7 linked regions of the Ovis aries genome follow. The main gene of each other region encodes a partner of the protein of the gene in region 6 in a complex. Links are inferred from orthologs where the notes say so. Each region holds a gene or a part of one and is shown on either strand. Other genes may lie near its edges. The genes, in order: ALYREF, THOC3, THOC7, DDX39B, THOC6, THOC2 and THOC1.

Evidence for each region.
Region 1: THOC2 (region 6) and ALYREF share a complex: the UniProt entries of both Homo sapiens proteins name them as parts of the transcription/export (TREX) complex. The link is inferred for Ovis aries from reciprocal best matches to the Homo sapiens genes THOC2 and ALYREF.
Region 2: the proteins of THOC2 (region 6) and THOC3 are in contact, whole or in part, in a cryo-EM structure (PDB 7ZNL), measured with the Homo sapiens proteins. The link is inferred for Ovis aries from reciprocal best matches to the Homo sapiens genes THOC2 and THOC3. Residues at the interface, in NP_001075019.1 of Homo sapiens: Tyr395, Arg396, Pro401, Lys402, Gly403, Ala404, Lys405, Gly406, Ser407, Pro446, Ile447, Ala450, Arg454, Cys500, Asn501, Ala502, Cys503, Met504, Glu506, Pro563, Arg566, Gln567, Lys570, His573, Tyr603, Leu604, Thr605; in NP_115737.1 of Homo sapiens: Asp193, Met196, Ile208, Val217, Gln218, Asn221, Ala222, Pro224, Ser225, Ala244, Asp245, Ala246, Leu247, Ser249, Trp251, Asp252, Asp254, Glu255, Leu256, Val257, Cys258, Val259, Cys261, Ser263, Leu265, Asp266, Pro268.
Region 3: THOC2 (region 6) and THOC7 share a complex: the UniProt entries of both Homo sapiens proteins name them as parts of the transcription/export (TREX) complex. The link is inferred for Ovis aries from reciprocal best matches to the Homo sapiens genes THOC2 and THOC7.
Region 4: the proteins of THOC2 (region 6) and DDX39B are in contact, whole or in part, in a cryo-EM structure (PDB 7APK), measured with the Homo sapiens proteins. The link is inferred for Ovis aries from reciprocal best matches to the Homo sapiens genes THOC2 and DDX39B. Residues at the interface, in NP_001075019.1 of Homo sapiens: Lys550, Tyr551, Met553, Lys554, Arg555, Leu556, Thr557, Lys558, Glu559, Tyr582, Gln586, Lys589, Tyr590, Asp591, Asn592, Leu593, Pro596; in NP_004631.1 of Homo sapiens: Leu282, Asp283, Val284, Leu285, Glu286, Phe287, Asn288, Gln310, Asn311, Phe312, Pro313, Asp335, Phe336, Gln337, Arg338, Arg339, Arg355, Ile420, Ile424, Glu425.
Region 5: THOC2 (region 6) and THOC6 share a complex: the UniProt entries of both Homo sapiens proteins name them as parts of the transcription/export (TREX) complex. The link is inferred for Ovis aries from reciprocal best matches to the Homo sapiens genes THOC2 and THOC6.
Region 7: the proteins of THOC2 (region 6) and THOC1 are in contact, whole or in part, in a cryo-EM structure (PDB 7ZNL), measured with the Homo sapiens proteins. The link is inferred for Ovis aries from reciprocal best matches to the Homo sapiens genes THOC2 and THOC1. Residues at the interface, in NP_001075019.1 of Homo sapiens: Leu155, Phe156, Tyr157, Lys158, Gln160, Asn163, Leu164, Leu165, Arg166, Asn169, Glu170, Ala173, Lys174, Ile176, Ala177, Gly180, Gln181, Asn195, Lys197, Ser198, Leu199, Ile200, Gly201, Cys202, Phe203, Asn204, Leu205, Pro207, Asn208, Arg209; in NP_005122.2 of Homo sapiens: Asn134, Arg138, Asn141, Leu144, Arg145, Lys149, Thr153, Cys156, Gly157, Gln160, Leu161, Ala164, Arg165, Phe167, Gln242, Phe245, Arg246, Tyr297, Ala299, Lys300, Phe301, Arg319, His320, Leu323, Gln324, Ile327, Tyr331, Arg373, Phe374, Lys376.

What each region holds. Positions count from the first base shown.
Region 1 is NC_056064.1:50,497,978-50,502,191, reverse strand, and holds the start of ALYREF (THO complex subunit 4), read right to left. Parts: upstream 2,813-4,214; 5' UTR 2,781-2,812; coding exon 2,544-2,780; intron 2,064-2,543; coding exon 1,932-2,063; intron 437-1,931; coding exon 289-436; intron 1-288. Other genes in the region: ANAPC11 (anaphase-promoting complex subunit 11), read left to right, coding at 3,549-3,657. UniProt on the Homo sapiens protein: Functions as an mRNA export adapter; component of the transcription/export (TREX) complex which is thought to couple mRNA transcription, processing and nuclear export, and specifically associates with spliced mRNA and not with unspliced pre-mRNA.
Region 2 is NC_056060.1:5,174,695-5,178,804, forward strand, and holds the start of THOC3 (THO complex subunit 3), read left to right. Parts: upstream 1-1,237; 5' UTR 1,238-1,281; coding exon 1,282-1,548; intron 1,549-2,281; coding exon 2,282-2,438; intron 2,439-3,769; coding exon 3,770-3,974; intron 3,975-4,110. UniProt on the Homo sapiens protein: Component of the THO subcomplex of the TREX complex which is thought to couple mRNA transcription, processing and nuclear export, and which specifically associates with spliced mRNA and not with unspliced pre-mRNA.
Region 3 is NC_056072.1:37,741,538-37,745,110, forward strand, and holds part of THOC7 (THO complex subunit 7 homolog), read left to right. Parts: exon of another isoform or gene 1-2,601; intron 2,602-2,707; exon of another isoform or gene 2,708-2,896; coding exon 2,897-3,014; exon of another isoform or gene 3,015-3,573. UniProt on the Homo sapiens protein: Component of the THO subcomplex of the TREX complex which is thought to couple mRNA transcription, processing and nuclear export, and which specifically associates with spliced mRNA and not with unspliced pre-mRNA.
Region 4 is NC_056073.1:26,836,381-26,839,953, forward strand, and holds part of DDX39B (spliceosome RNA helicase DDX39B), read left to right. Parts: intron 1-130; coding exon 131-249; intron 250-2,479; coding exon 2,480-2,611; intron 2,612-3,299; coding exon 3,300-3,409; intron 3,410-3,508; coding exon 3,509-3,573. UniProt on the Homo sapiens protein: Involved in nuclear export of spliced and unspliced mRNA. Component of the TREX complex which is thought to couple mRNA transcription, processing and nuclear export, and specifically associates with spliced mRNA and not with unspliced pre-mRNA.
Region 5 is NC_056077.1:2,938,447-2,942,704, forward strand, and holds the start of THOC6 (THO complex subunit 6 homolog), read left to right. Parts: upstream 1-1,456; 5' UTR 1,457-1,752; coding exon 1,753-1,791; exon of another isoform or gene 1,792-1,988; intron 1,989-2,366; coding exon 2,367-2,482; intron 2,483-2,590; coding exon 2,591-2,655; intron 2,656-2,745; coding exon 2,746-2,849; intron 2,850-2,976; coding exon 2,977-3,014; intron 3,015-3,096; coding exon 3,097-3,145; intron 3,146-3,268; coding exon 3,269-3,340; intron 3,341-3,419; coding exon 3,420-3,522; intron 3,523-3,606; coding exon 3,607-3,656; intron 3,657-3,746; coding exon 3,747-3,809; intron 3,810-3,908; coding exon 3,909-4,019; intron 4,020-4,104; coding exon 4,105-4,239; intron 4,240-4,258. Other genes in the region: HCFC1R1 (host cell factor C1 regulator 1), read right to left, coding at 285-420, 661-816, 901-957, 1,188-1,348. UniProt on the Homo sapiens protein: Component of the THO subcomplex of the TREX complex which is thought to couple mRNA transcription, processing and nuclear export, and which specifically associates with spliced mRNA and not with unspliced pre-mRNA.
Region 6 is NC_056080.1:107,630,536-107,634,108, forward strand, and holds part of THOC2 (THO complex subunit 2), read right to left. Parts: intron 3,040-3,573; coding exon 2,911-3,039; 3' UTR 2,478-2,910; coding exon of another isoform or gene 2,450-2,477; 3' UTR 1-2,449. UniProt on the Homo sapiens protein: Component of the THO subcomplex of the TREX complex which is thought to couple mRNA transcription, processing and nuclear export, and which specifically associates with spliced mRNA and not with unspliced pre-mRNA.
Region 7 is NC_056076.1:35,630,411-35,633,448, reverse strand, and holds part of THOC1 (THO complex subunit 1), read left to right. Parts: coding exon 1-21; intron 22-355; coding exon 356-451; intron 452-1,004; coding exon 1,005-1,070; intron 1,071-2,568; coding exon 2,569-2,652; intron 2,653-3,038. UniProt on the Homo sapiens protein: Component of the THO subcomplex of the TREX complex which is thought to couple mRNA transcription, processing and nuclear export, and which specifically associates with spliced mRNA and not with unspliced pre-mRNA.

The sequences.
Region 1 (4,214 bases), on a different chromosome or scaffold from region 6:
GCACTCAAGAGTTGTACTATGGTGGTTCTGAGAAGGCTTCACAGAAGTGAATCTTCCGGAAGGAGCTGAAGGAGGGGAGGGACGTAGCTTGCTGGATGGGGATTCACAAGAGGTTGGTCCAGATGTGGGGGGCAGCATGAGAGGTGGCAGTGTGGAAGAGAGACAAAGGGGCGAACACAAAGTGTCCTCAAGCAGAGGGGACCCTACTCTTGCAGGGATGGGGCCAGCCTCTGGCTCCGCAAACTAGCTACAGCGCTGCAGCCTTTCTGGGTCCAATCCCAAACGCACCATCCAAAGGAACGCCGTTGTACTGTTTCATAGCTTTTAGTGCATCTGCCTTCCGCTCAAAGTGCACGTCAGCTGTTCCTAAACTGCGGCCAGATCGGTCGTAGTGCACAGCCGCCTTCTTCAGAGTTCCAAATTCAGCAAAGAGCTCCTGAGAGTCAGAAAGAGCAGTTGTTAGCACAGCAATTTTTCTTCTGGTGGCCCAGGGACACTCCCTGGAAGTGTAAACTGCTTTGGGGTATTTCCCTGGGAGGAAGACATACACGTGGTGGGGCAGGGAAGTGGCGGTGGGACCTGGGGTATGGGATGGGACAGGTGGGACAGCAATTTCCCGGAGCAGCTGGGCCCGAGGGCTCCTGCCCACTTGGGAACCTGACATCTATACCACGATGCAGGTGAAGGATCACAAAGCCCACCAATGAAGGGCAAAGATTTAGTTGCTATCTTCTTCAACAAAGGAATATTTACAACACACCCAAGGACTGTGCCAAGAAGCAGCCAAGGCCAAGATCACAGAGCAAGGGGCTCTATCCACTTGTGGACCAGCTCCAAGGGCCCTCTGACTGGGAGCCCTGACCCAGCCCCTCCCCCAGGGCAGATTCTGGCTCACCTTTCCCTCTCCTCCTACTCAAGCCTGCCGCAAAGCCTGAAGTCAAGCGCTGCCATGGAAACTGCCCTGACCTCAGGCAGGCTGGGAGTTGGAGAGGGAACCCAGAGTGTGGGGCTACTCCGGCCGCAGGCACACAGCGGGAAGTGGAGTTCACCAAAAGCGGTTTCCAGTGGATGCCAGAAACCACCTTAAAAAAAGTGTTGAGACACTGTGAGTGCTCACTGGCCTTGCTCTGTCCTCCCAAGGCAAAGTAAATGGCTGGGCTCTGGGAAATTGAACCCAGGAAGGCCCAGTACCCTGCCCAGCCATCTCCTGGACTGACCCCCAAGATGTCATTACTTAACCATTTTAGGCAGCAAATTTAAAGGCCTTTAGGGTTCAACCGAAAAAAAAAAAGAAAGAAAGAAAAGGAAAAAAAGAAAAAGGGGAGGAAAGAGAGGCAAAAAAAAAGAGGCTTCAACCAAAGATGTTTGAGAATCATGTCACTAACAAAACCCAGGGGGTGAGGGTAAGTGAGAAGACAGGGGATGAAATTCCAAGTAAGACATGGGGCTTAAGGCAAATGGAGCCAGAGCGGCGCTGGCACCATCCTGCTCTGTGCTATGTCAGTTCTACAAAGGAAGTGCTTTCTCCTCCCAACAAACCATTAAAACAAGCAAAACGTAAAGAAAACAAGTAGCCTAGCTCTTCCAGGAACAGAATCGGAGCACAGTCAACCAAGCTTCTGCCAGAAGAGCTTGGGCAGAGTGCCTTCATCTACAAAACACGTTTTAGCAAGGAAGAACAGCAGCGCCCCAGACTAAGCTGGGGCCTTGTCTTCCAGCACAAACTGACACATTGGTCAGGCTTTCAACTCTAGCTCAACCTCTGCTCTGCATTCCTGGAGCCCATCACAGGGAACAGTGGCTGGCCTTTCGGTGCCTGGGAGAGCTTGTCGTCCCAAGGTGTGCGTGTGGGGGATTCTGGGCCAAGTCCCAAACGCCACAACCGATTCCGTGCGGAGTGACCCGCCCACCAAGAAACTCCAGTCCCTTACCTGAATATCAGCGTCGGACACTCCAAAATCCAGATTTGACACCAGCAGTTTCCCACCGGTCTCCACGCCGGCACCACCCCCAAAACCGCTATCGAAAAGGTCATGCTGCCATTTGTCAGGAAGTTGTTTCGGCTGAGGGAAAAGAAAACACAAGAACAGAAAAAGGTCTGTGAGTCTCACTCCAGGGCTCGCCCTCGCCCTCACGGCCACAGCAAGAGCCTCCCCCCATCTCGGCGGGGAGGCAGGCGCTGAGAGAGACCCGCAGCCTCCGCTTCACGCCCGCGTCAGGCCGTACCCGGCCGCCGCGGCCACACGTCCCGCAACTTCTCGGTTCCCTTCAACCAACTTCCCGCCACCGGGGCGGCCGCGCCAACGGCCCCTCAGCCCCCAGCGCCGTGAGGCCGGGCGCCCTGTTAAGACAAAGGCCGCCAGGGTCTCCGCCTTGGTGCCCGGCAGGCGAGCGACCTTCCCGCCCGCCGAACCGGCCGGCGCCCGCGCCCCCCGGCCCAGTCGGTCAGTCGGTCGGCCGCCCGGACGGCCCGCCGGTCGCCCGTGCGCCGCCCTGCCGGTTCGCTCCCTCGCCGCGGCCCGCCACCCGGTCTCCACACTCACCCTGCTGTAGGGCGCCGGCCGGTTCCTGCCGCCGCCGCCCGCCGCGCCGCGGGCGATGGCCGGCCGATTCCGAATGGGTCCGCCGCCTCGGTTCACTCGCGCGGCGGCCTGGGCTCCGCCGCCGCGGCCACCCTGGGAGCCGGCCCGGCCGCGGCCCCTGCCCCCGCCGCGGCCGCCTCGCTGGCTCCGGTTCAGCTTAATGATGTCGTCCAGAGACATATCCATTTTGTCGGCCATGGCGGGCGCGGAATCGGCCTCGGCTCGAGCCCGCGCGTCAGCACGTCGGCGCGTCACTTCCAGCGCCGCTCGCGGGTTTTCCGGTGCCGCGTCCTCAGAGCGACCGCGGATTGGCTGCGGGCCTTCGGCGTCTCAGGGGGCGAGGTCGCGCGTGCGCGCTGAACCAAGGAGCTCGGCGGGCGCCTCTGAGAAGTGCCGAGCCGCGGCCACAGGCGTTTATATACCTTCCCGCGCGGGGCCGGCACTGCCAACTGAAGGCGGGTGGTGCGGCGCGCGATTAGATCGGCGGGGGCGCGGCCGTTGGGGGCGTGGCCGAGCGTGGCGCCTCTCCCTCGCCCCTCCCCCACCGCACCGGGAACCCGCACCCTAGTCCAGCGGCGGGAGTGAGTGCGGCCCGCGCCAGGGTTGTTTCCGGGGTGACCTCGTAGGGAGCGGGCTTGGGTCTCCATCTCTCAGCCCCGTCAGCCCTTTCGGAAGTAGCGCACGGCGCGTTTCTGCGGTTGTTAAAGAAAGCCGACGAGCCCTTCTGCGGACGCCGAGGCAGAAGTGCGGTGTTGGCGAAGGACCAACACCGGTCCTCCCGGTCTTCCCGAGGACCCGGCCCCCGCCCCAGTCCCCTTGCAGACAGCCTCTTACTGCCTTTCGGCGGCCACTGTTGCCTACGCTCGACCCTCGGGGCGACGCCCCTTCTTTGGCTTCCAGGTGCCGTAGCTCTGCAGACTCAGCACAGCCGGGTGGTCTCTTCCCTCCTCGCAGGCTCCTCGCGCCATGAAGGTGAAGATCAAATGCTGGAACGGCGTGGCCACTTGGCTCTGGGTAGCCAACGACGAGAACTGCGGCATCTGCCGGATGGCCTTCAATGGCTGCTGCCCGGACTGTGAGTGTCCCCTGCCCGCTGTCTCTCGAGCTGTGCCTATCATCTGGCCTTGGCGTGTCCCCAGAAGTACTCGCAGAGCGTTTCTGGGGTTTGGTTTCCTCTTCCCAAGAAAAGTTGACAGAGAAAAGCCAGGCTATTTGGGCCCATATTTGTACAAAGATCCCGTCAAAAGTTTTGTAAGGAAAAGAGCACAGTTTCCTATCCTGATAAAAGTCACTATGAGACCCGTGGAACACAAAAATGTGTTAAGACATTGTATTTGAAAATTTCAAGTCAACAAAAAATTGTGACGTTACAAGGTTTCCCCCTCAATCCAGCACATAAATGATGAATAACACGTTTTCATATCTGGCTGTTTTTGCCCAGCTGTTTTAAGGTAAATGCTAAATATCTGCTGCATTGTCAGGCGGGTTCCTTATCACTGAGCCACCAGGGAAGCCGCAGCAAATGCTAAATGTGATGTCCTATATCAGTGCTGACTTTTACCAGCACTGTTGTCACTTTAGACAATATACTGCCTTACTGTTGCCGGTCATTCCTAGTCCTTGTTCAGGTTT
Region 2 (4,110 bases), on a different chromosome or scaffold from region 6:
ACTTGTGATTTGGTACCAAAGCCACCTTTGGAAGGCCTCACAAGAAATTTTACCGTATTTTTTTGTAAGGGGAATTTGGGTACATCAGAGAGAAGTAATCTCACTCTCCCACTTTATTCTCTCATTTTTTTCTACATTTATTATCAAATGCACGTGTTACCTTTTTAAAAAGTCTTGTATTTATGGAAATTTTCAGCCAATTTTTCACCACCGAAACACAGCCCCCAGCTCACTGGCCCTTCTCAAGCGACTTGTCTGGCGCTGGCAACTCACCACCTCTTTCTTCAGTAAGAAAATGCTGGACATGTGGTCTGAGGTATGGGCGTGAGGTGTGGGGACCAGTCCAAGGGGCATGAAAAGGCATTTACTCTTCACTCTGTGTATGTTATGTATTTTTGCATATATACGAATGCGCATCTAGAACAGCCTTCTAAACACAAGGAATTTGTCTCAAAATCATCCCAACAGCCTTCGGCAGCCTCCTTTCCCCGCAGCAAGTGAAAAAGAGAGTCACTCAGTAGTATCCGTATCCTTATAGCTTACGGAATTCTCCAGGCCAGAATAGTGGAGTAGGTAGCTGGTTCCTCCTCCAGGAGATCTTTCCAACCCAGGAATCAAACCCGGGTCTCCCGCATTAGCGGGTGGATTCTTTACCAGCTGAGCCACCAGGGAAATCCCAAACCTCTCACCTATTTTCCCAGAGAGGTTCACCGGCTCCTCCTGCAGTAGGAAGTAGAGAGCCTTCGGCTCTAAGTGAGTGGGCTGAAAGGTGGGAGTAACCCAGAAAAAAATGTGTTTTTAACTGACAGCGAACTGAGGTTTAGAATTGCGTTATTTCTTCGATTAAACAGGGATACAAATATATCTACCAAACAGTAGGTAAGGAGAAAGTTAAGGACCCTAAAAACCTCCTAGTGGCTAATGGAAGGGAAAGTCGCTCAGTCGTGTCCGACTTAGGCTACAGTCCATGGGATTTTCCAGGCAAGAGTACCCAGGGGTCGAACTCGGGTCTCCCGCCTTGTAGGCAGACACTTTATCCACTGAGCCACCAGGGAAGCCCCCTAATGATTAATAGTGAAGGAAATTTCAAGCGGAACCGCGACCACTGGAAAAGGTAAAGGCGGGAGCGCGCTGCATGCTGGGACTTGCAGTCTCTTCCGGGAGTGGTCCCCAGTGCGGGTGCGCGGAAGCGCGGGTGGTCTCTCCCGCGCATGCGTGCGGCGGCGGCGGCAGGGCTGATTGCCGCTAAGAATATTACTGAGCCGGTGTCCGGAATTCGTCATGGCGATTCCCCAGGCGTCCATGGGACCCTCAGCGCTGGGCCAGAGCGGTCCCGGCTCGATGGCTCCCTGGTGCTCAGTGTCAAGCGGCCCGACGCGCTACGTGCTCGGGATGCAGGAGCTGTTCCGCGGCCACAGTAAGACGCGCGAGTTCCCGGCGCACAGCGCCAAGGTGCACTCCGTGGCCTGGAGCTGCGACGGACGTCGCCTGGCCTCGGGGTCCTTCGACAAGACGGCCAGCGTCTTCTTGCTGGAGAAAGACCGGTTGGTGAGCCGCTGGGACCCGGCCCAGGCTAGGGAGAGAGGGGGTGTGGTGAGGCGAGGTTGAAGAATGGCGTGAGTGAGAGAGGGTGAGGAGGAGGGAGGAGGGAGAAGGGGTGTGGAGGTGAGGGGCGTGTGTGATGCGCGAAAGAGAAGTGTGGGGGGTGAGGCGGCGGGAACGGACTGATGAGAGGTGAGGATGGGGGTGATTGAGAGGAGGGCTGGTGGTTGGGGGCGGGGGACGGTGTACAGGGAGTGTGATAGTAAGGAGGCGTGAAGATGAGCGGGGGGTGAAGGGGAGTGTGGAGAATAAAGGCCGGTGGTGAGGATGGCGGGGAGACTTGTGTGGTGGTTTGGAGCGGCTGGGACAGTGGTGATGGGCTCCTGTGATGATGAGGAGAGTCCTTCTCAAAATGACAGGGCCTCTGTGGAATTGAGTAAGCGGGTTGGGACCCTTGGTGGAAGAGTACGGGTAGAAAACCACAAAGGAGGAAGGCCAGGGAGGGATAAAGAGAAAGGGCATTGGTGTGGACCCGGTCCTTAGAACTGTTCACACAGTGGGGAGGAAGGGAGGGTAGGGTGTTGGGAAGGGTTTAGGGGAAGTGATTTAGAAGGACTGGACTCTTTACTCATCCAAACTTATGTTGGTAGCCAGATACCTCGTTTTGAATAAGGTTAAGAAGTTACATGGGTAGGCGGGTACATATGGGTGAAGTGGTATCTGGATTTTGTTCTTTCAGGTCAAAGAAAACAATTATAGGGGACATGGGGATAGCGTGGACCAGCTCTGTTGGCATCCAAGTAACCCTGATCTCTTTGTCACTGCATCTGGAGACAAAACCATTCGCATCTGGGATGTGAGGACTACGAAATGCATTGCCACTGTGAACACTAAAGGTAACTGTTCAGAAGATGAGCTACTGATAGTCATTCATTTTAAATGTGCCTGGCCCTCTTGGTATGGGACATCCTGATCTGAATAAGACAGTCGCCAGCTCCAAGGACCTGAGAGTTTAGTGCAGGGAGAGACATATGTATTGAAAAAACTAACATAATATAACATGGTCATCCTGTAATGGATAGGTTTACAAGGTGGATACTGAGAATGGAAACACTTAAGTATGCCTGGGGAAGATAGGGAAGGCTTCACAGAATTTGAGCAAACCCTTAAGATAGCCATATAGATTTAGTGGTCACCTTGTAGTGGGTAGGCAGCTCTAGCAGGGAACAGCATGTACTAAGGGGTGGAGAATTTAGGAAACTGCTGATAGGGTAGAATGACTGATCTTGGAATAAATGACTTTGACAATTGGGGAGAAAAATGACCTGGAAGTTGTGTAGTACATTTATAGACTGTTCTTCCTCAGATATTGCCTTATAAACCTTGAGGCCATTTATTAAGTTATATTGGCTAAGATGTTATTGATTATAAGATGCATCAATATTTTATGTTTCATTAGAAAAGAAAATAAAGTTTTACTAGATAGTCATGATACACCAAAAATTTTGAAATACATCCTGATGCATTCTAAAATACATTACAGGTAATAAGGTATGAAAAACTATGCATCTTAGAATCAATAAAGTTGATGAAATTTGTGGGCTACTGGACTTTGTTGGCGAGACTTGTACCTGGAGGTGGAATGATATGGTTTCCCCAACTAGACAACTGGTGATATGTGAGTGAGTTAAGTATGTAGATGAACATTAAAAACTGATTGTATATATATTTTAATGCCTACTAGAAGAAAAGAACTAGCTTATAGTATTTATTGCCAAAGTGAAGCTATTTAAAAAATTTGGAGGGGTCAGTTTTAATAAAAGTCTTGAAGGAAGAAGTATAGCTATTAAATGGGTAGTTCAAAAATTGTGGAAATGGCATGTGAATGACTGGGGTTTGGGAAGTACAGGTATAAGAGAGAATCAGAGGCTCTGGTGTCAAGTACACATTTAGACCTTGGCTCTGTTACTTCATAGTTTTGATACTTTGGCCCATCTCTCTCTCAGTTTTTCGTCTGTAAAATGGGGAGGAAAAATGGCCCTTAGAGACATGTGAGCACTAAAGGGGGAAATGTGTAGATGAGTGTGCTGGACTTGTGGTTGGTCCTACTGATGAGGACCTTAGTGAATGAACTCTGGCGATAGCTCTAGTCTTTCTTTGATAACAAGATAAACTTCTGGAGGATTGTGGGCTAACAGTATCTTGCTGATCGTATCTGGGTTCCTAGGGGAGAACATTAATATCTGCTGGAGTCCTGACGGGCAGACCATCGCTGTAGGCAACAAGGATGATGTGGTGACGTTCATTGATGCCAAGACACACCGCTCCAAAGCAGAGGAGCAGTTCAAGTTTGAGGTCAATGAAATCTCCTGGAACAATGACAATAACATGTTCTTCCTGACAAATGGCAACGGTTGTATCAACATACTCAGGTGAGGGGGTTCTAAGTTTAAGGGACTGTCATGTCTTTGCACTGAGTGCTGTAGTGGATCCCGAGATGAATTAGATGTGAGTCTATCCTGAGGGAGCCAGAAGGACAAACAATTGACTGTTGAACAACATGGATTT
Region 3 (3,573 bases), on a different chromosome or scaffold from region 6:
ACATACGTATGTAAACAAGTGCACAGATCTTAAGTATACAGCTGAAAAGATCACAAAATGTCCTGGAAACATTTTCAGTTAGTCACCAAACTTTAAAAATCCCTTGAAAAACCAGATCTGGTAATAACCTCTCACTTTAGGTACTCAATCCTCAATTTCCCTACTCCCTGGTTCCTGCATTCATTTACATTTGAAATCCATTGTCCTCCATAAAGGAGTGTTCCTAGTTATCTGGGAGGAAGATGGGGTTTCCTGGGGGCTTGAAAGAGTAGAGGTAGGAAGATCAAAAATAAACTAAATAGCATCAATTGACCACTGGACTGCTCACCCACTGAAGGTTTACTTTTAACAAAGTTAAAACATGATTGTGACTTTATAAAAAAGTCAATTCCATTTTCTGAATTTTAATCTCTGCCAGGACTGTGTTTTGTCTCAGTCTCCTCAAATAACATTATTGGTGGTTAAAAGAGGAAACCATTAGTTTATATCTTTCAGTGTAAAATTAAAACACTTGATGAATCCGTAGCTGGAAACCCAATTCTAAACATGTTTATCTGATGTTGTCACAGAATAGATTTTAAAACTGGGCAAAAAAAAAATTGGAGCCATCTGCCTTCCAAAGTTTATCTCCACTGCACCTGCACTCAAAAATACTTCTGCCTACACACAGGAACTATTGTTTCAAGATTTTGCTGTTGATTCATCATGCAGGTTCTCTAGGAATTATTCACACTTTAAAAACGATTTTTTAAATGCCTGCATATGGTTGAAAACAAAAATTCTATAAAACCATAAAAATTAAATTGCATCCTCTGTAATACCTCTTATCACAAATAGCCACTATCACCAGTTTCTTATGAATCCTTCCAAAGATATTTGCTGAATACCTAAACACATGTGTGATGGGCACATACATACACAGATGGCTCCTTGTTTACACAAATGGTAGTAAAATATGTGCTTCTCTGCACCTGTGTTATTTTCATTTTACTTAACATATCTAAGGTGATTTTTATGATATTAATATATACATCCACACTGGTTTTTTTTGGCTGAATCTTACTACCTCTTTTTAAAAGCATGAGATTTAGCAATTATCTATTTATGTATATATGTCTGTTTCTTTATTGGCCCCCCTTGTGAGGCATGTGGGATCTTAGTTCCCCAACCAGGAATCGAACCCGTGACCCCTGCGATGGTAGCATGGAATCTTAACCACTGGACTGCCGGGGAAGTCTCTGCATATTATTACACGTAACAACTGTTTTATATTTAGCCAGTCTTTTCCTGGTGAATGTTTAGGTTTGCCATCTTCCTACTACAAGCAGCACTCTTAAGAACAATCCTTTTACATATATCTTTGTGCATGGGTGCACATATTGGAGAGGGAAATGGCAACCCACTCCAGTGTTCTTACCTGGAGAATCCCAGGGACGGTGGAGCCTGGTGGGCTACCATCTGTGGGGTCGCACAGAGTCGGGCACGACTGAAGCGACTTAGCAGCAGCATGGGTGCACATGCATCTGTAGGATGATTTCCTAGAACTGGACTAATGGGGTCAAAAAGCTATATGCATTTGGAATATTATCTGATTGTCCAGCTGCCTTGCAAAGAGCACACCACTTACATACTATCCGTGTATGTAAGTGTGATTTCTCAACACTCTTACCATCGCTTATTATCAGGTCTTTTGATCTTTACCAGTCTGAAAGATGAAAATGATATCTTACTGTGGTTTCAACTTGCACATCTCTTATTATTATGATCCAGCATTATCTTGTCCAGGAAGAACAGTAGCTCACGGCTGCCAAGCAAGCCCACTGCGGCCCTAATTGTTACTCAGCATTGTTATCTGCATTGCTTTTCTATTATCTCTTCTGTTTTTCTTTTCCTTGGAGCAAAAGGGAGACAGACATTAAAAAAAAAAAAAAAAAGTCCTCACGTGGAAAGAAGCGTTACCGATACAATTACTAAATTACACCCCCCAAAAAATTTCTTTTCTCTGACACTTCTCATTCTCTTTTTCTAGTCTCCCACTATGTCTTTCAATCTTCTTTTCTCTCTGTTCCTTTTACTAGTATCTTACAGTACTCAATGCCATGAATGCTTCAGGCTTTCTTCTGTCTGAACAGGTTTTGCCCACAAAGTTTCTCCAAGAATTATTGACTTATTTCTCTGGTAGTACCTGAAAATTATTTTTACTCTACAGCCTGGCAATAAAATGTCAGTTCTGTGAGGGCAAGGCTTTTCCCTGATATAACCCCAGCCCCTAAAACAGTGCCTGACATGAGACAGTTAATAACTTTCCATATATATACATGGAAATTATATTAAAACCTACCTAATGTAAAATGGTGTTGGAGAAGACTCTTGAGAGTCCCTTGGACTGCAAGGAGATCCAACCAGTCCATTCTGAAGGAGATCAGCCCTGGGATTTCTTTGGAAGGAATGATGCTAAAGCTGAAACTCCAGTACTTTGGCCACCTCATGGAAAGAGTTGACTCATTGGAAAAGACTCTGATGCTGGGAGGGATTGGGGGCAGGAGGAGAAGGGGACGACAGAGGATGAGATGGCTGGATGGCATCACTGACTCGATGGACGTGAGTCTGGGTGAACTCTGGGAGTTGGTGATGGACAGGGAGGCCTGGCGTGCTGCGATTCACGGGGTCACAAAGAGTCGGACACGACTGAGCAACTGAACTGAACTGAATGTAAAACTGACCATTTTAATTCTTTTAAGTACAGTATTTTATGTACAGTTCAGTGGCATCAAGTACATTTACATTTCAGTAGTTTTCTTCTAAATAAATGAATCTGTAGTGGTGTTGCTCATTTGTCCCTGAAAGTGAACAGGAACCAGAAAGTCATTTTAATTCACATTATTCTGTCCTCCAGACGAAGTCATACGGAAGCGTCTCCTAATCGATGGAGATGGTGCTGGAGATGATCGGAGAATTAATCTGCTGGTGAAAAGTTTCATTAAATGGTGCAACTCAGGATCTCAGGAAGAGGGGTATTTCATGTTGCTGCCGTTTCTATACTAATGTCCTACTGTGATTTTTTTTTTAGATCATACATATAGTGCTGTCAGTTTTTCATATTTTCACTCATTAACAGAGTCCAGAGTAGGTTTTTCTAGCCTTCCCTTCAGAGGCTACTTTTATGTTTATTAAAATGTGCAGAAGGTGCAGTGATAAGAATTGAGGGTTAAATTCAGACTTAATACTTTGGTCCCTTTTAAAAGCAAATAAGTGTTTAGTAAGACAAAATACTTACATGAAATTTTCTCTATTTTTTAAAAAAAGTACTAATAAAGTTGCTGCAAGGTTTTATATATTTGATAAATTTCTAACTTAGAGTTTTTTCATCATTTGAATTAGCTTTTCACATAGATAAATAATTATATAGAATGAAAAAATTGAGAACAGAATTGTGATGATAAAAACCATCTTAAAACATTTTAAAAAAGGATACTAAGCAAAATTCAAAAAATAGTTGTCTGAATTAAACTTATATTGCTAACAACTACAGTCCCATCTTTACATTTATAACTAATACAGTTTATAAATTCA
Region 4 (3,573 bases), on a different chromosome or scaffold from region 6:
TAACCCTGACCCGCAACTCTCGGCTCACCCATTTCCAGCAGTCCTTACCTCATTGATAAGCCTGTCTCTGATCTTCATTTATGATAATATGTCTCTTTTCTACCATAATTTTTTTTTCTTCTTCCTGTAGACATGCGTCGGGATGTCCAGGAAATTTTTCGCATGACCCCCCATGAGAAGCAGGTCATGATGTTCAGTGCTACCTTGAGCAAAGAGATTCGTCCAGTCTGCCGCAAGTTCATGCAAGACGTAAATACCCTTCTACCTTCTCTCCCTCCACTCCCCGCCCGCTGCCTTCTCCCCCTCCGCGCCCTCTTCCTCCAGACTCCCTTGTCCTTCAAGCGCCAAGAAGGGGGCACGCGCCCATTTGAAAGTGATGACTCCTTGAAGAGACACACAGAGGCAGAGACAGTTAGTGTTAGGGTCTGCGCGGCGCCAGGGAAACTCCGGAAGACTTGGTCGGGTTAACGTGAGAGCGGGTAGTGTTCGACTTTTTTTTTTCATCAAAGCATTTTTGAACCTCTTCTCCCTTTTGGGGGAGGGCAGGATTTTCTGCCCTACCACCCACCCATCGTCTTCTACATACCCCCTACAGCCACGCACCCTCCAGGTGGCGTCAAGCATACAGCCGGAGCCTTCTGCTCCCCAAAGTCATAACCTCCCGGTGGCAGGAGAGCAAGAGAGGGACAGACAGATGGCAGGGCATGTCCAAAAGAAGAGCAAACAGCACACACGAATCCGCTCCCTCCCCACCTCCAGGGGTGGGGGCCTTTGGCACCTCAATCCCCGAGTCCATGCTCCTTCCTACCCGTACCTCCTCGCACCCGTCGGAACCTCGGTTGATGTGAACCAGCAGCAGAGAAGCACCGTGGCGCGGCGGGGGAATGCGGACGCACCCGGCGGTGGATGGCGGCAGCGGAGGCCGCGGGGAACCTGACCAGGAAGCTGAGGACCAAACCAGCCTCTTTTTCTGTTCCCGGTTTTTTTCCTGAACCCAAGGCGTGCCGTGCTCCCTGTTTCTTTCCGTTTGTGTTGGTGGGGAGGGGTGTTCTGAGTAGGGTGGTAGATTTTTATTTTTTCTTCTTTTTAACTTTTTTAATACTCAGAGGGATATGGAAAAAGTAAAGTGAAGCGCTCCACTTGGGTGTAACCAGGTGGTGGTAGGGTCTGGGCTAGGCGGGCCCTTGTGTAAGCAGTGGAGTGTGTTCTTTCCCTCCCTCCCTGCTGTGCTCCTTCCCATGGACCATAACTCTTACCTTTAGCTGTATTTGGGGTTCAAGTTAGATTGGAAGGAAGCCATGGAACTTCTCTTTGGAAATCCTTCCTTTGCTAGTCTGCATTCTGAAGTTCAGCTTCTGGTTTTCACTTATGACACACTTACCCTTTCCCCAAATCTTGTACCCTGGGGTTTTACGTTAACCATGGCTTCCTGGTGGCTCAGATGGTAAAGAATCCACCTGCAATGCGGGAGACCTGGGTTGGGAAGATCCCCTGAAGAAGGGAAAAGTTATCCACTCCAGTATTCTTGCCTGGAGAATCCTCATGGACAGAGGAGCTTAGTGGACTTCAGTCCATGGTGTCACAAAGAGTCGGACACGACTGAGTGACTAAACACAGCACACAAGGGAAATTGGGCTTTAGAGTTGACTCTTGTGTCAATTACCACTTTTTTTTTTTTTTTTGGTGAATGCTATCTACCTTCCCTTCAAGGGTTGTGTGTGTTTGTTTTGTTTTTAAAGATGACTGAGTAACTCTGCTGCTCTGAATTTGCTTCTTACCACCACTCATTGTACCTTCCTCGTAACACTATAGATGGTTTGATTTTTCGTTCAGAGACCAATCTCTCTCAAACTGTTTCCTTGTGGTCCGAGAGCAAGTTGCTACTCAATCTTTGCCTCTTTTCATGGCATTTTGACCTTAAGTCCATTGAAGTATTCTGATCTTCCACCTTCCTAATGGAGATATGGGAAGACATCTACCTACCTTATGGAGATATGATTCTCCTAGTTGAGAGAATATGCAAATGGAGCTCTGCCCTGTATTAAACCAGCTCTAATGGAGTTATTCTGACCTCGAGTCACTGTTGCCATGATTTCCCAGGTGTTTGCTTCATGTTCTCGCTTTGAGAACCACTTCCCTTTGTTTTCTTTCCTCCACCACCTCCGTTTGAGGTAATGGCATCTTGCCATTTGGTGGTTGGACTCTGCCCTTTCCTCCCTGCAGAGTTCCTTTCCTATAACAGTTTTCAGTTGGGAAATCTTAAAACTCAACTGATAGGAAGGAAATCAGATCTAATGTCCAAAAGACCACATTAAAATGTGGGTATTTTTGGGGGTGGGGCTGGGTTTTCAATCTTCTCTCTTCTCCCCATCCCCCCATGGGGTGTATTGGAGATCAACTTCCTCCACCCCCCCAGGTTTAACCCCCCCACTCTGCCCTCCTCCCGTTCCCCACCCCTTCCCTCCCCCCTCCCCCCCAGCCAATGGAGATCTTCGTGGATGATGAGACGAAGCTGACGCTGCATGGATTGCAGCAGTACTACGTGAAACTGAAGGACAACGAGAAGAACCGGAAGCTCTTTGACCTTCTGGATGTCCTTGAATTCAACCAGGTTAGTTGTCCAGGGTCCAGTAGGGAGAATGAGTACATCTCCAACTGTTGGCAGAAACCTTTTTATTGAGGAAGCCACGTATGCCATGTGAAAGAGAATAGTGGAAAAAGTCTTTTAAATGAGAGACTTAGGGGCTGAGCGTGAGCGCAATGGGAACTGCTTTTCTGTTCCATGCCTGATACAGAAAGTAAACCTCAAATTATAAAATCTTGAGTCTTAAAGTTAATGAGAGTCCCACAATAATTAGACAGGTTCTTAAATTTGTGTTTTGCACTGCTCACCAGGGAGAAGTGTTTCATTAGTGTGATTTGTTTGCACTAAAAATCATTTTCTATAAGCTCTTACTATGTTTGATGTTTTGGTGAGTGGGAATAATGGTCATGTCTTTCCAGACTTACGTCAGGTTTTTACCGTTCTCATGTGGTGGCTTCATTCTTGTCTCCTAATGTATCTGGTAGTTTTGGTTACTGTTTTCCATATCCTCTGCAGCATGTTTGTCTGCTCAGGAAAAGTCAGAGCCAAGCGGGAAAGACTTAGTATTTAGAGCAGAAGAGGAACTATGTGATGGGGACTAAGGAGTTCTTTTAGAAGAGTGTAATTACTGAGAACTCCTGCTCGTAATTTTTCTCACACACACCCACATGGACGCACATCCCTCCAATCTCATACACACCACGCACGCACACAGGTGGTGATATTTGTGAAGTCTGTGCAGCGTTGCATTGCCCTGGCCCAGCTCCTGGTGGAGCAGAACTTCCCAGCCATTGCTATCCACCGTGGGATGCCCCAGGAGGAGAGGTGAGTCAGAGATGGGCAAGATGTTTTGTGTCCTTGTGAGCAAAAGGGACCATTGAGAGAAGAGAATCTCAACACTTTCTGCTTTCCTTTCTCATAAAGGCTTTCTCGGTATCAGCAATTTAAAGATTTTCAACGACGGATTCTTGTGGCTACCAACCTGTTTG
Region 5 (4,258 bases), on a different chromosome or scaffold from region 6:
CCTCCCTGCCCTCCCTTCCCCAAAGAGGCTGGGTTCCAGATGAAGCTTTCATTCACTCAGCAATCTTTATTCAGTTCTCGGCGGGGAGGGGATGGCCTCCTTTCCCATGTTCCTGCCCCTTTCACCTCAGGGCTCTGTGTCCTCTGTTGAGGGGAGGTCCTGGTGCCCAGAGGCCTGGTCTGGAGGAAAAGCAGGGCAGCTGGTCCCTTCCTGTGAGTGCTGCTCTCCCTTGTTCAGGGGAAGAAGGAAGTGGGGGGGGGGGCAGGGGCACTCCTCCCCAGATCTCAGAGCTCCATCATGTCCCCAGCTGGGGATGCAGGGTAGTGGGGGGTGGGAGTGTCCCCCAGCCTCAGCAGCCGGAGAGCCTCAGGGATCAGATTCCCAGGGTAGCGCCAGAGAAGCAGCTCAGAGCAAGGGCTTCTGGAAGAGGAAATAACAGGACACAGGGGCAGAGGCTGGCCTGGCAGAGCCACGCCCCACCTGGTCCAGGTCCCCAGGGGCTCCTGGACTGCTGGCACCTTCCAAGGAGCCAAGTAGGGAAACAACAGAGGTTGGCGAGAAGCTAAAAATAGCAGAGTGAGGCAGAGCCTGGAAATGGGCTCCGAGGACTGGGTATGATACCCTGGAAGGCCCAGCCGGAGGACTGTGGATGGTGCCTACCTGAGTGGGGGCAGAGCTGGGGGGAATGCCCTGGGGGGGCTGCAGTAAGGGTGGTCATTGTGCAGGCTGAGTTGAGAGAAGTGGGTGGCCATGTTCTCTTCGGACAGGAACTGCTTTCGCAGGGGCTCCCTGGAGAGAGACGGGGGCGCAGGCAGGCTGGGATTCAGAGGAGAGGTAGCCTGATGGGGACCTGAGGTGACGGAGGACTTGGCGGGAGTCCCTCCCTGCCCCCAAACTCACTGCTCCTCCTCCAGGCGCCGCTTGGTGCTCATGGGCACAGCTCCTCGGAGAGGGGAGCTGGGAAGAAAAGAGAGCTAGGAGCACCCCACCCTCTTGGCGCCATCCCCAGGATCTGCCCGCGTGAGCCTGCAGCGTCAGCCAGCAGCCCCCCGGCCCATGCCTGTCGCTGACGTCTAAGTCACCCTCTCGCCCAGACCATCCACGAGCCTGCCTCGGAGGTCTCCAACCTTGTCTCAGCTTATGCCCAAGCTCTGCCGATAAGCCCCACCGCGTCTCATCCTGCAGACCTGCTCGAGGCCCCAGCCAAAGCTCCTGGGACCCTAGGCCGGGCCCAGCCAGGGTCCCACACACACCTCGCGTCCAGGCCTCCAGAAGCCCCCGAGGCGGCCCGCGGGTCGCGCTGGGCCCGACCCTGGGGGCCTCGCTCCAGGGGTTGCTGCAGGATCATTGGTGTTCGGGGTCCTGCGGGCAGAGGGGTGGGATCCAGGCAGCAGGGGCGGAGCCTTTGAGGGCGTGACCCAGTGCGTGGGGCGTGGCTTTAGGCGCGTGCGCTGCCAGGTTCCGCGCAGGCGCGGAAGAAGAACCTCACGCGGCTAGAAGGCGGGTCCGCTCAGCGGGGTGGGGGAGGGGACCCGGCGTAGCGGGGTTGCGGTGGGCGCCATTTGGTGTTGGGGTGTCTTCTCGGTGGTCACCTCTGCTCCTGGAACTCGGGTTACGCGGTGGCCGTCTTCACGCTGGGCCGGCCAACGGTATAGGGTAGGTGAGGAACCGCGAAAGGGAGGCGCCCACTGGCACTTCCGGACTCGTGAGGCTGCGTTGCGCGCGGAGCACTCTGGGACTTTTAGTTTCGAGATGGAGCGAGCGGCGCAGCAAGCGGTGCCTCTGGGTCAGGTGAGGGTGGGGCGATGCGCAGTGCCTTCTGGGATTTGTAGTCCACGTCTGGCTCCGAAGGGGCGCGGCGGGGAGTCGTGCCCTGAGCACTGTTTTGCGTGGGCTGTTGGTGGGATCGGATTCTGACCCAGGGGAGGGAGGATAACCCAGAAATACCTCAGGGGCCTAACGTGAAAGTCATAGGATGCGGATCAGGGGTCAGTACGTTTTTCTGTATTGGAGTAATAGAGTTTTTTAAGCCGTTTCTGAGCGAAGACAGAAACTGCGACGCTATGTACAGTAGCTCATCCAATCATGACAAAATCTCCCATGAGCTCCATTAGACAGTTAAGGAAACCGGGAGGAGAGGCTGAGTCTTTGCTCAGATTTCCACTGGGCATCATGCCTCAACTCTCCTCTTCCTCACCTCCCTGGAGCCGCCCCTGGGACTTAAATGGGCAAGGCCCACTTGGTGGGCTGTCTCAAAGGAGAACTGGGTGATGGGAGGCCCGACTGCTGCAGGGGAAGCAGGAAGAAGTGTGTGGGTCAGAGGTCCCGGATGCCCGAGCCTGCCTTTATCCAGCCTCTCTCCACAGATGGAAGTGTTTCAGGCTCTGCAGCGGCTGCACATGACCATATTCTCCCAGAGCGTCTCACCCTGTGGGAAGTTCCTGGCTGCTGGCAACAATTATGGACAGATAGCTATCTTTAGGTACCCTTGCCCCTGCTCCCCACTGTCCATGAGCTCTGGCACTTGGCCCTCTGGGGGGCTAATGCCCCCTTCTTCTGACACTCAGGCCCCTCTCCCCTTTCCCTTCAGCTTGTCTGCTGCTTTGAGCTCCGAGGCCAAAGAGGAAAGTAAGAAGCCCATGGTGACCTTCCATGGTGGGTGCAGACGTTGAGTCTGGCTTGGGGGACCCCAGGGTGGATGACAGGAGCAGGACGAGGTCACTCAGGTTCTGTGCTTCCATTTAGCCCATGATGGGCCCGTCTACAGCATGGTCTCCACTGATCGACATCTGCTGAGTGCTGGTGATGGGGAGGTGAAGGCCTGGCTTTGGGCGGAGATCCTTAAGAAGGTGAGTGTGGAGCTGGGGGAAGGGTGAGGTACCCAGACACAGAGAGCCTTTGAGGCCACCCAGTGCATGGGGTCACAGAGTCTAACACAATTCAGCGATTGTACAACAAGCATTTCTCTCCACGAAGGGCTGTAAGGAGCTGTGGCGTCGTCAGCCCCCATACAGGTGAGCCAGGCCCTGTGAGCAGAGGGCACCTGGGGGTGAAGGTGCCACCTCACCAGAGTTGACTCTGCTTTCCTTTCCCCAGGACCAGCCTGGAAGTACCTGAGATCAATGCTCTGCTTCTCGTGCCCAAGGTTCGAGCCCTTCGTAAATTCAGGGCTCTTCCCTGTCCTGTTTTTGGCCCAGATTTTGATCCTTCCCCTCTCCGTGGCCTGACTTGACCCTGACTTCTGACTCCATCCCACCTTCCTCTGCAGGAGAATTTGCTCATCCTGGCGGGGGGAGACTGTCAGCTGCATGCAATGGACCTTGAGACAGGGACCTTCATGGTGAGAGAGCAGGGCCAGGGGAGCAGGGGCAACGGCATTCCTCCCGGGTCTTGTCCTGACACTACCTCTCTCCCTGCAGTGGGCCCTCCGGGGCCACACGGACTACATCCACTGCTTGGCACTGCGGGAGCGGAGCCCTGAGGTGCTGTCGGGCGGCGAGGATGGGGCCGTGCGGCTTTGGGGTAAGGAGTGTCACATCGGAGGGAAGGCTGGTGGTGAGGGAGCCTGAGGCGAGGAGGATACCTCTCGAGGTTCTTCCTCTGCAGACCTGCGCACAGCCAAGGAGGTCCAGACAGTCGAGGTCTATAAGCACGAGGTGAGGGCACACCCCACGTTCTGTCCTCCCTCCTTCCTTCCTGGGCATCCCCGGTGTCTTCACCTTCCGCTCTGTTCTCCCCCCTCCCAGGAGTGCTCGAGGCCCCACAATGGGCGCTGGATCGGATGTTTGGCAACTGACTCGGACTGGATGGTGAGCCAGGCAGCGTGCAGGCTGGGGTGGCAGCTCGGGCCCTGTCTGGCTGAGGGCCCATGGCTCACGGTAACTTGGGACCCCCAACTTCCTGCCCAGGTCTGCGGAGGAGGCCCAGCACTCACCCTCTGGCACCTCCGATCCTCCACACCCACCACCGTCTTCCCCATGCGGGCGCCACAGAAGCACGTCACCTTCTACCAGGACCTGGTGAGGCCCTCTGTCTTGTTTCTGCTGTCCCTGCCGCGCTCCCCCTCCAGGCCTGAACTCTGAGCTCCCTCCCTGTCTTCCACAGATTCTATCAGCTGGACAGGGCCGCTGTGTCAACCAGTGGCAGCTGAGTGGGGAGCTCAAGGCCCAAGTGCCTGGCTCCTCCCCGGGACTGCTAAGCCTCAGCCTCAACCAGCAACCAGCAGCCCCTGAGTGCAAGGTGGGTCCGGCCAGGGGTG
Region 6 (3,573 bases):
GTTCTAAGTGGAAATTTTTCATAGACAGGAATTTTTAAAGATTAAACTAGGGGAAAAGGTTAAAAGCAAAGAACTTAGTTGTGTTCCAGAGACCAAATGAAAGAGAGGTAAGATGAATTTGGACAAAGACGTTAGCAAAAACAAGTAACAGGAAATACAGAGAACAAGCAAAAAGGATTTTGCAACTAAAAAGTATGAAACAGGAAAATAAGACTTTGGAAGGAATTTAATCTGGGTCACATTCATATACTGTATTTTCTTAACTCTAACATGATCATTTTAATGTTTCTGAAATCAGGGTGATACTTACAAATCAATGCCATTTCTCTATGCACTTTTCTCAAAAAAAAAACAGTTCTAGAAAGCAACAATGAATCTTACAATTAATGACATCTCTGAATCACGGAAATGTGACATGTGTAGCAGTTCTCCTTTCTGTATAATATAAATTAAAAAGGGAGCAAGGAGCAGCAGATTTGAAGTGGCCTAAAGGTAGAGATCAGTCCTGGGTGTTCATTGGAAGGACTGATGCTAAAGCTGAAACTCCAATACTTTGGCCACCGCGTGCAAAGAGTTGACTCACTGGAAAAGACCCTGACGCTGGGAGGGATTGGAGGCAGAAGGAGAAGGGGACGACAGAGGATGAGATGGCTGGATGGCATCACTGACTCGATGGACATGAGTTTGAGTAGACTCCGGGAGCTGGTGATGGACATGGAAGCCTAGCGTGCTGCTATTCATGGGGTTGTAAAGAGTCGGACACGACTGAGTGAGTGAACTGATACTGATACTGAAAGGTAAATGATGCCAATCAGAAGTGATGAGAACTCTAAATGAAAAGGAACAGCATAAAGACTTGACCAACCCTAGAAGGTATCCAACAGAAGACAGAACAGCTTAAAAAAAAGGAAAAGTCTACCAGTGCTTTCACAAACAGTCTACGCAAGAAGAGAGATATAGAAAACCACAGTGAAAGCTGTCAATGACAATGACTGGCCCATTCCTAATGAAGATAAAAGAGGTAGAGCTTTTTTTTTTTTTAATGAGGGGACCAGGTGACAGCAAGAAGTAAAAAGCAAAAAGCAAAACGCCAACTAAAAGGAAGGTTATGGTGAAGAATAAAAAAATATTAAGAGTTTATCATTCACCAGGGAAGACAGCTAGTTGTTAGGTAAAGGGATAGGTAGAATTTAAGAACAGGTAATGTTTCTTTTATAATCTTCCTAATTTAAAAAAATCTACTAAATTCTTAAGAGCTCTCTCACAACTCTCATCTTCCCTTCTATGCTAATACTTAGAAAACGAGCACAGACTAACAAAACAGAAAAAGCACATAATCTATCAGGAAGTTACCTACCTGGCAACCTCAAATCCCTGCTTTGTAGCCAAAATAAATAGGACAAAATCCATACTCTAAAGTTCACTGCTTTATATGGAACAGGCTCTCAGACATTTCTCACTCAAACTGTAAACAGCCTTGGTTATCTATCCAGTTTAATAAAAGATTAGAAGCAGCAAATAATATTAGGAGGAAGGTAGAGAATGTAAGTATACTTGATGTCATTAAGAAGTGACAGCTAAAACAGAAACAAGAAAATTGGCTATAAAAGATTCAAAAACTTCAATACTGCCATCTCAAACCATTAGCTGTAGAGGGCAAATCATCCTACATACCTCAATAATCCTAAGGCATCACCAAACAATAACTTTTCAAATGATGATCTGAGTGCTCAAAAAAGATCATATTAAGGGTTCTGAACACTCTGTCCACTTATAATTTAAGATGGATAAAACATTTTTTTTAATTCATATAAGGTATAACTACTTTGAAAACAAAATTGCCTATTTTAAATTCCAAAACTAAAAGCACAGACCATATTTTTGGCTTTGAAAAACATGGGCAGTGATAGAGAAGCAAGAAACTTTAAGACAAAAAAAATCTCTGAATAACATGTCGGCATGAAAGGCAAAAAGATGGGAGAACACTAGTAGGCAAGAAGATCTACGTTTATGTATTGGCCATGTCAGGTAATATCTCTGCCACCCCCTTCAACTTAACCTTATGAGTCTCAGTTTCTTCCCCTGTAAAAAGCAGATACCACCACCACCTATAAGGTACTTTAAAAATGGATTGATTATCCAGAGAAGATGGGAATGAGTGGTGAAGAGAAAGCCAGATGTTTTTAAACACATCTTGATGCTTTAAAAAAGAAAAAAAAAAAAGGCATGACTTAATCAGCAAGCTTAAAATGAAAATAGCTTAAAAATAACCATGAACCTTCTTTCACATCTTTACCCAAAGACCTGAGCATTATATTTAGGTGAAACACTACAGTTGTGTCTTGCAAAAACGGATCTAGTTTCTTCAACATTATCATACCTCATTTTGTATTTCTATCTTTAAATGAGAAAGAGGTAAGAGAAGACTCACCTTGATTGAAAGTCTTCATTATCTGTGCTTGTCCGAGGACTTATGAGTAGATGACAAATTAAGGGAAAACAACTTTTCGGGGGGTGGGGGGGGGGGGGCGGAAAAATCGTGTCTCATCTTTTAGTACAATCCCTCAGCCTGCAGGCCTGACTCTTACCAGCCTAGTAGTCTCAGACTCTACCAGCTCTGCTCAGCTGCAGCATCATCTTGCTCTGCTATTCCCCATGCCCCCAGCCCAAGGGACTCTGTTTCCTCTCCTCCTCTTGGTGATAGAGCCAGAGGGACTTTAAATCCCTTGGTGGCATAAAACCACCTCAGTTAATAAAGAAGTTTAAAAAAAACAATCAAGTCTCCCATTTCCATGTTTCATACATTTGAGAGGGTTAACTAGAGAGACCATTTAAAAGGTAGACCATTTTTAAAAGTCCTTAAGCAGTTAGACACATATTACAAGGGTACAATTCTAAATAACATCAGTATCAAAGTTTTCCATTATACTGATTAAAAAGATCTATAAGATGAAAAGGATATTGTTTCTTCTCTTCCTTTCCTCCTGAACTGTCCCGTTTCTCTTTCTTTTCTATCTTTTCTTTATCATGCCTGGACTCCTATAACGAATGGTAGAATTAGTTGAGGAAGGGAAAACCAAATATAAAAATCAGTTTAAAATCCCTTTTCATCAGCCACCAGCCATAAATTTTTCTTCAGACTTATTTAATATAACACCAAAAGCACAAGCAAAACAAAACTGGACTTCATCAAACATAAAAACTTGTATATATCAAAGAACACTATCAAGAAAGTGAAAAGACAACCTATAAGAGAAAATATTTGTATATATGTATCTCATAAGTGTCTAATATCAAGACTACATAAAGAATTCTTACAACTGAGTAACAAAAAGACAAACAATACAATTTTTTAAATGGCCAACACATCTAAATAGATTTTTTCAAAAGATATACAAATAGCCAACAAGTATATGAAAAGGTGTTCAACATCATTAGTCATTAAGAAAACACAAAATCAAAATGACAGTGAGATACTAATTCACACCCACTAAGTAAAAACAAATAAAACAGAAACAGAAAATAACAAGTGTTGGCAAGGATGTAAGGAAATTGGCACTCTCATATATCGCT
Region 7 (3,038 bases), on a different chromosome or scaffold from region 6:
CCCAAGTTTTGTGAAAGAAAGGTAAATGTATACTCAGCTCAAGCAGTATGAGAAAGGCATTTCAGAATATAGCTTGACACGATCAGTTTACATGACATCCGGATCTGTGTCAGTGTGTTCATGTAACAGTATAAACTGTACTCTATAAAAATACAACTGCTTTGATTTACTTCTGTTATTATCAAAGGGAAAATGCTTGCTGTGTACCCACATCTTGTCGTTTGTCCCCTCATGATGAGTGTGATAATATGAAGCGTCCATGTACTTTAGGAAGAAAACAGTAACTAAATTTTCTTGTACGTTTAACATTGTTCCATCTCTGCCATCCATCTGAAGTCCCAGTGTGTTTTCACAGAACGTCAGACAGCAAGCCCACAAGAGCAGTACGGAAAAGAGCAGCGCCGGAGGACTTCCTGGGGAAAGGGCCCAGCAAAAAAATTCTGATGGGCAAGTAGGTAAACCTGGCTCCATAGCGGGGGTGTCATCACAGAAGCTTTTACATTGTGAAAATATTGCTCTAAGAACTCTCCAGGTTTTGTGTTTTTCCAAGTTTCTTGTGTTTGGTATGTACATATATGACCAAAGCAAACTACACCTGATGAGCCTGTAGGGTTCATACGAGACAGAACTTCCGTTTTGTCTCCGGCTTCCAAGGTCCATGGCTATAGGTTCTGCCTTATTTTCCACGTCAGACAGTCCACTTGCTGTCAGATTGATGCGTCGTTTCTGGCTGTTGCAGGGTGCTGTAATCCTTTCATTTCTTCCACCTTCCAGTTAACTACTCTTCTCTTTATACTGCATTCGATTATTTTAGAAAGAAGTTAATAGTCATTATTACTTAATAAAATATATGCTCATATAGAAAATTTGCTAAATACCAAAATGTAATGATCAAAACTCATCGCCGCCCCAAAACTCACTATTTACTCCAACTATTTTTATAGCTTTAACATATAAGAGAATGGTGTCCATAAACAACATATTTTTTTGTGTGTGTTTTGTAGTGATGAGTTAACAAGGCTTTGGAATCTCTGTCCTGACAACATGGAAGCCTGTAAATCAGAGACAAGGCAAGTTTAAAATGTTTCATATGAAGTGTTGCTTTTCTCAAATGTTAACTAGCATAGAACTTTTTGTCAGCTATAAGCAGAGCTCAAAAGAAATTTTAAAATTTATTGTGGTTGACTTCTGCTCAGCATAATATAGCTTTCCGTAGAACACCTAGAGGTGCTGATAAAATAATTGTAGAAATCACAAGAAAGAAGAATTCACAAAAGGGAGAATGAAAAATCGGAGTAAGAACTACAGGTTGGTTACTTGTAGCTGGGGAGCAGTGCAGGTTGAGTCCCACTTTGGGAACCAAAGAACGTGGGTTTTATAGCAACAGAGCACAGAAAGTATGGCTTCAAGCCTGTAGACTGGTCACTGAGTGCCCCTGGGTAAAGCTGAGGCCCTCAACACACTCTGTTAAAAAAAGGGCCATGCGGAAGGAAGAGGGACTTGCTCACTGGCACAGGAAGCAAGGAGCTTATCCACTCCCACCTGAGATGTGGGCAAAAAGAAAAAGGTATTCCCTGAGGAATTATAACCATATCTGCTGTTATGTGGCCTCTAAGAGTTTAAACTTATACTGCCCGCAGCAGTGTGAAAGAACAACCTAAGCTAAGAGGGTGAACTAAAAACTCCCAGGCGGCTGGCAGAAAGCTTTTTCTAGCGAGAGGGGGAGATCACATCTTCTACCTAATTCACTCAGGGATTCTACAGATAAGTCTAAAGATAAGCGCACCATCCAAACCTAAAACCATGACTAAGAATCAACAGGTAGAATAAGCAACTAAAAGGAACATGACAGTCTCAAAAAGGACCAGGCAATTTGAAAAAAACAAGTAACTCTTCTAGCAACAAGAAATTATAGCCATTTTGTACAACACAGAGAATATAGCTAATGTTTTGTAATAACTGTAGATGGAAAATAACCTTTAAAAATTGGATAAAGATTTGATGTCTTTTTTAAAAAAGAAAACACAGCCAGTTGTCATTTCAGTATGACAAAATTTAAGTCTCTTTGGAGAGACCTTTTAGCCTGCTTGCGTGTATCAAATTTTACTTCTAAAGACAAATTGAAGAAAGATGCAGTTAAAAATCAATCATGCCACCACGGTAACAATCTAAACTAAACTCAGTGTGAAACCATATTGTCTGGGTCTCATTTCAGTTTGGTTCTGGTTTTTAAAAAAATTACCCATGGATGTGAAAACCTCCTGCTTGCTGGTCAAATTTAACTGCTCTCAAGCCCCGGGCCGCCCTCTGCGGCAGCGCTGCTGTACATGGCAGCACACAGCGCTGTGTGTTCCCCTCCAGGCTAGACTGTATATAACCGGGGCCAGGGGCACTACACTGCCCTCCACTGTCCCCTTGAGAAGTTCAGTTTTGCATCACCTCCTTAAAAATCTGAGTTCCTAAGTAATCCAGTTGTAAATCAGTGTGGTTAATACTAGAATCTTTATTGCCTCCATTTTATGAGTATTAAGCACATACATGATCTTCACTGGTTATTTTAACACCCAGGGAATACATGCCAACTTTGGAGGAATTCTTCGAAGAAGCCATTGAACAGGCAGACCCTGAAAACATGGTCGAAAGTGAATACAAGTAAGTAATGTTTCTCATGAGCTGATTTCCTCTATCTTAAGCACCGCATATATACCAGAACACTAAGGAAGACCACTGATACAAGTAGTACTTTTCGCTTAGATGAGGTTATCTTCCAGCTTCACGTTACTCCATGTCCTGATTTCAACGACCATTCCCATTTTGACAAACAAGCAACTTAGAATGCTTTCTGTCAGAAGTGGAAAGATCCCCTTAGAACCTGTCTGTCACCTCCTTTCCCTGTTCCCCTTCAGTTCACGGTATGTCCAACAGCCACTGACCTCGTGGGGGCATCCAGATCACTTGCAGAAACTTTTAAATGGAACAGATCTGTGCTCTGGATTCTCTGTGGCTCACCGATTTCTGGAACAGGATCTCTAGTCTTT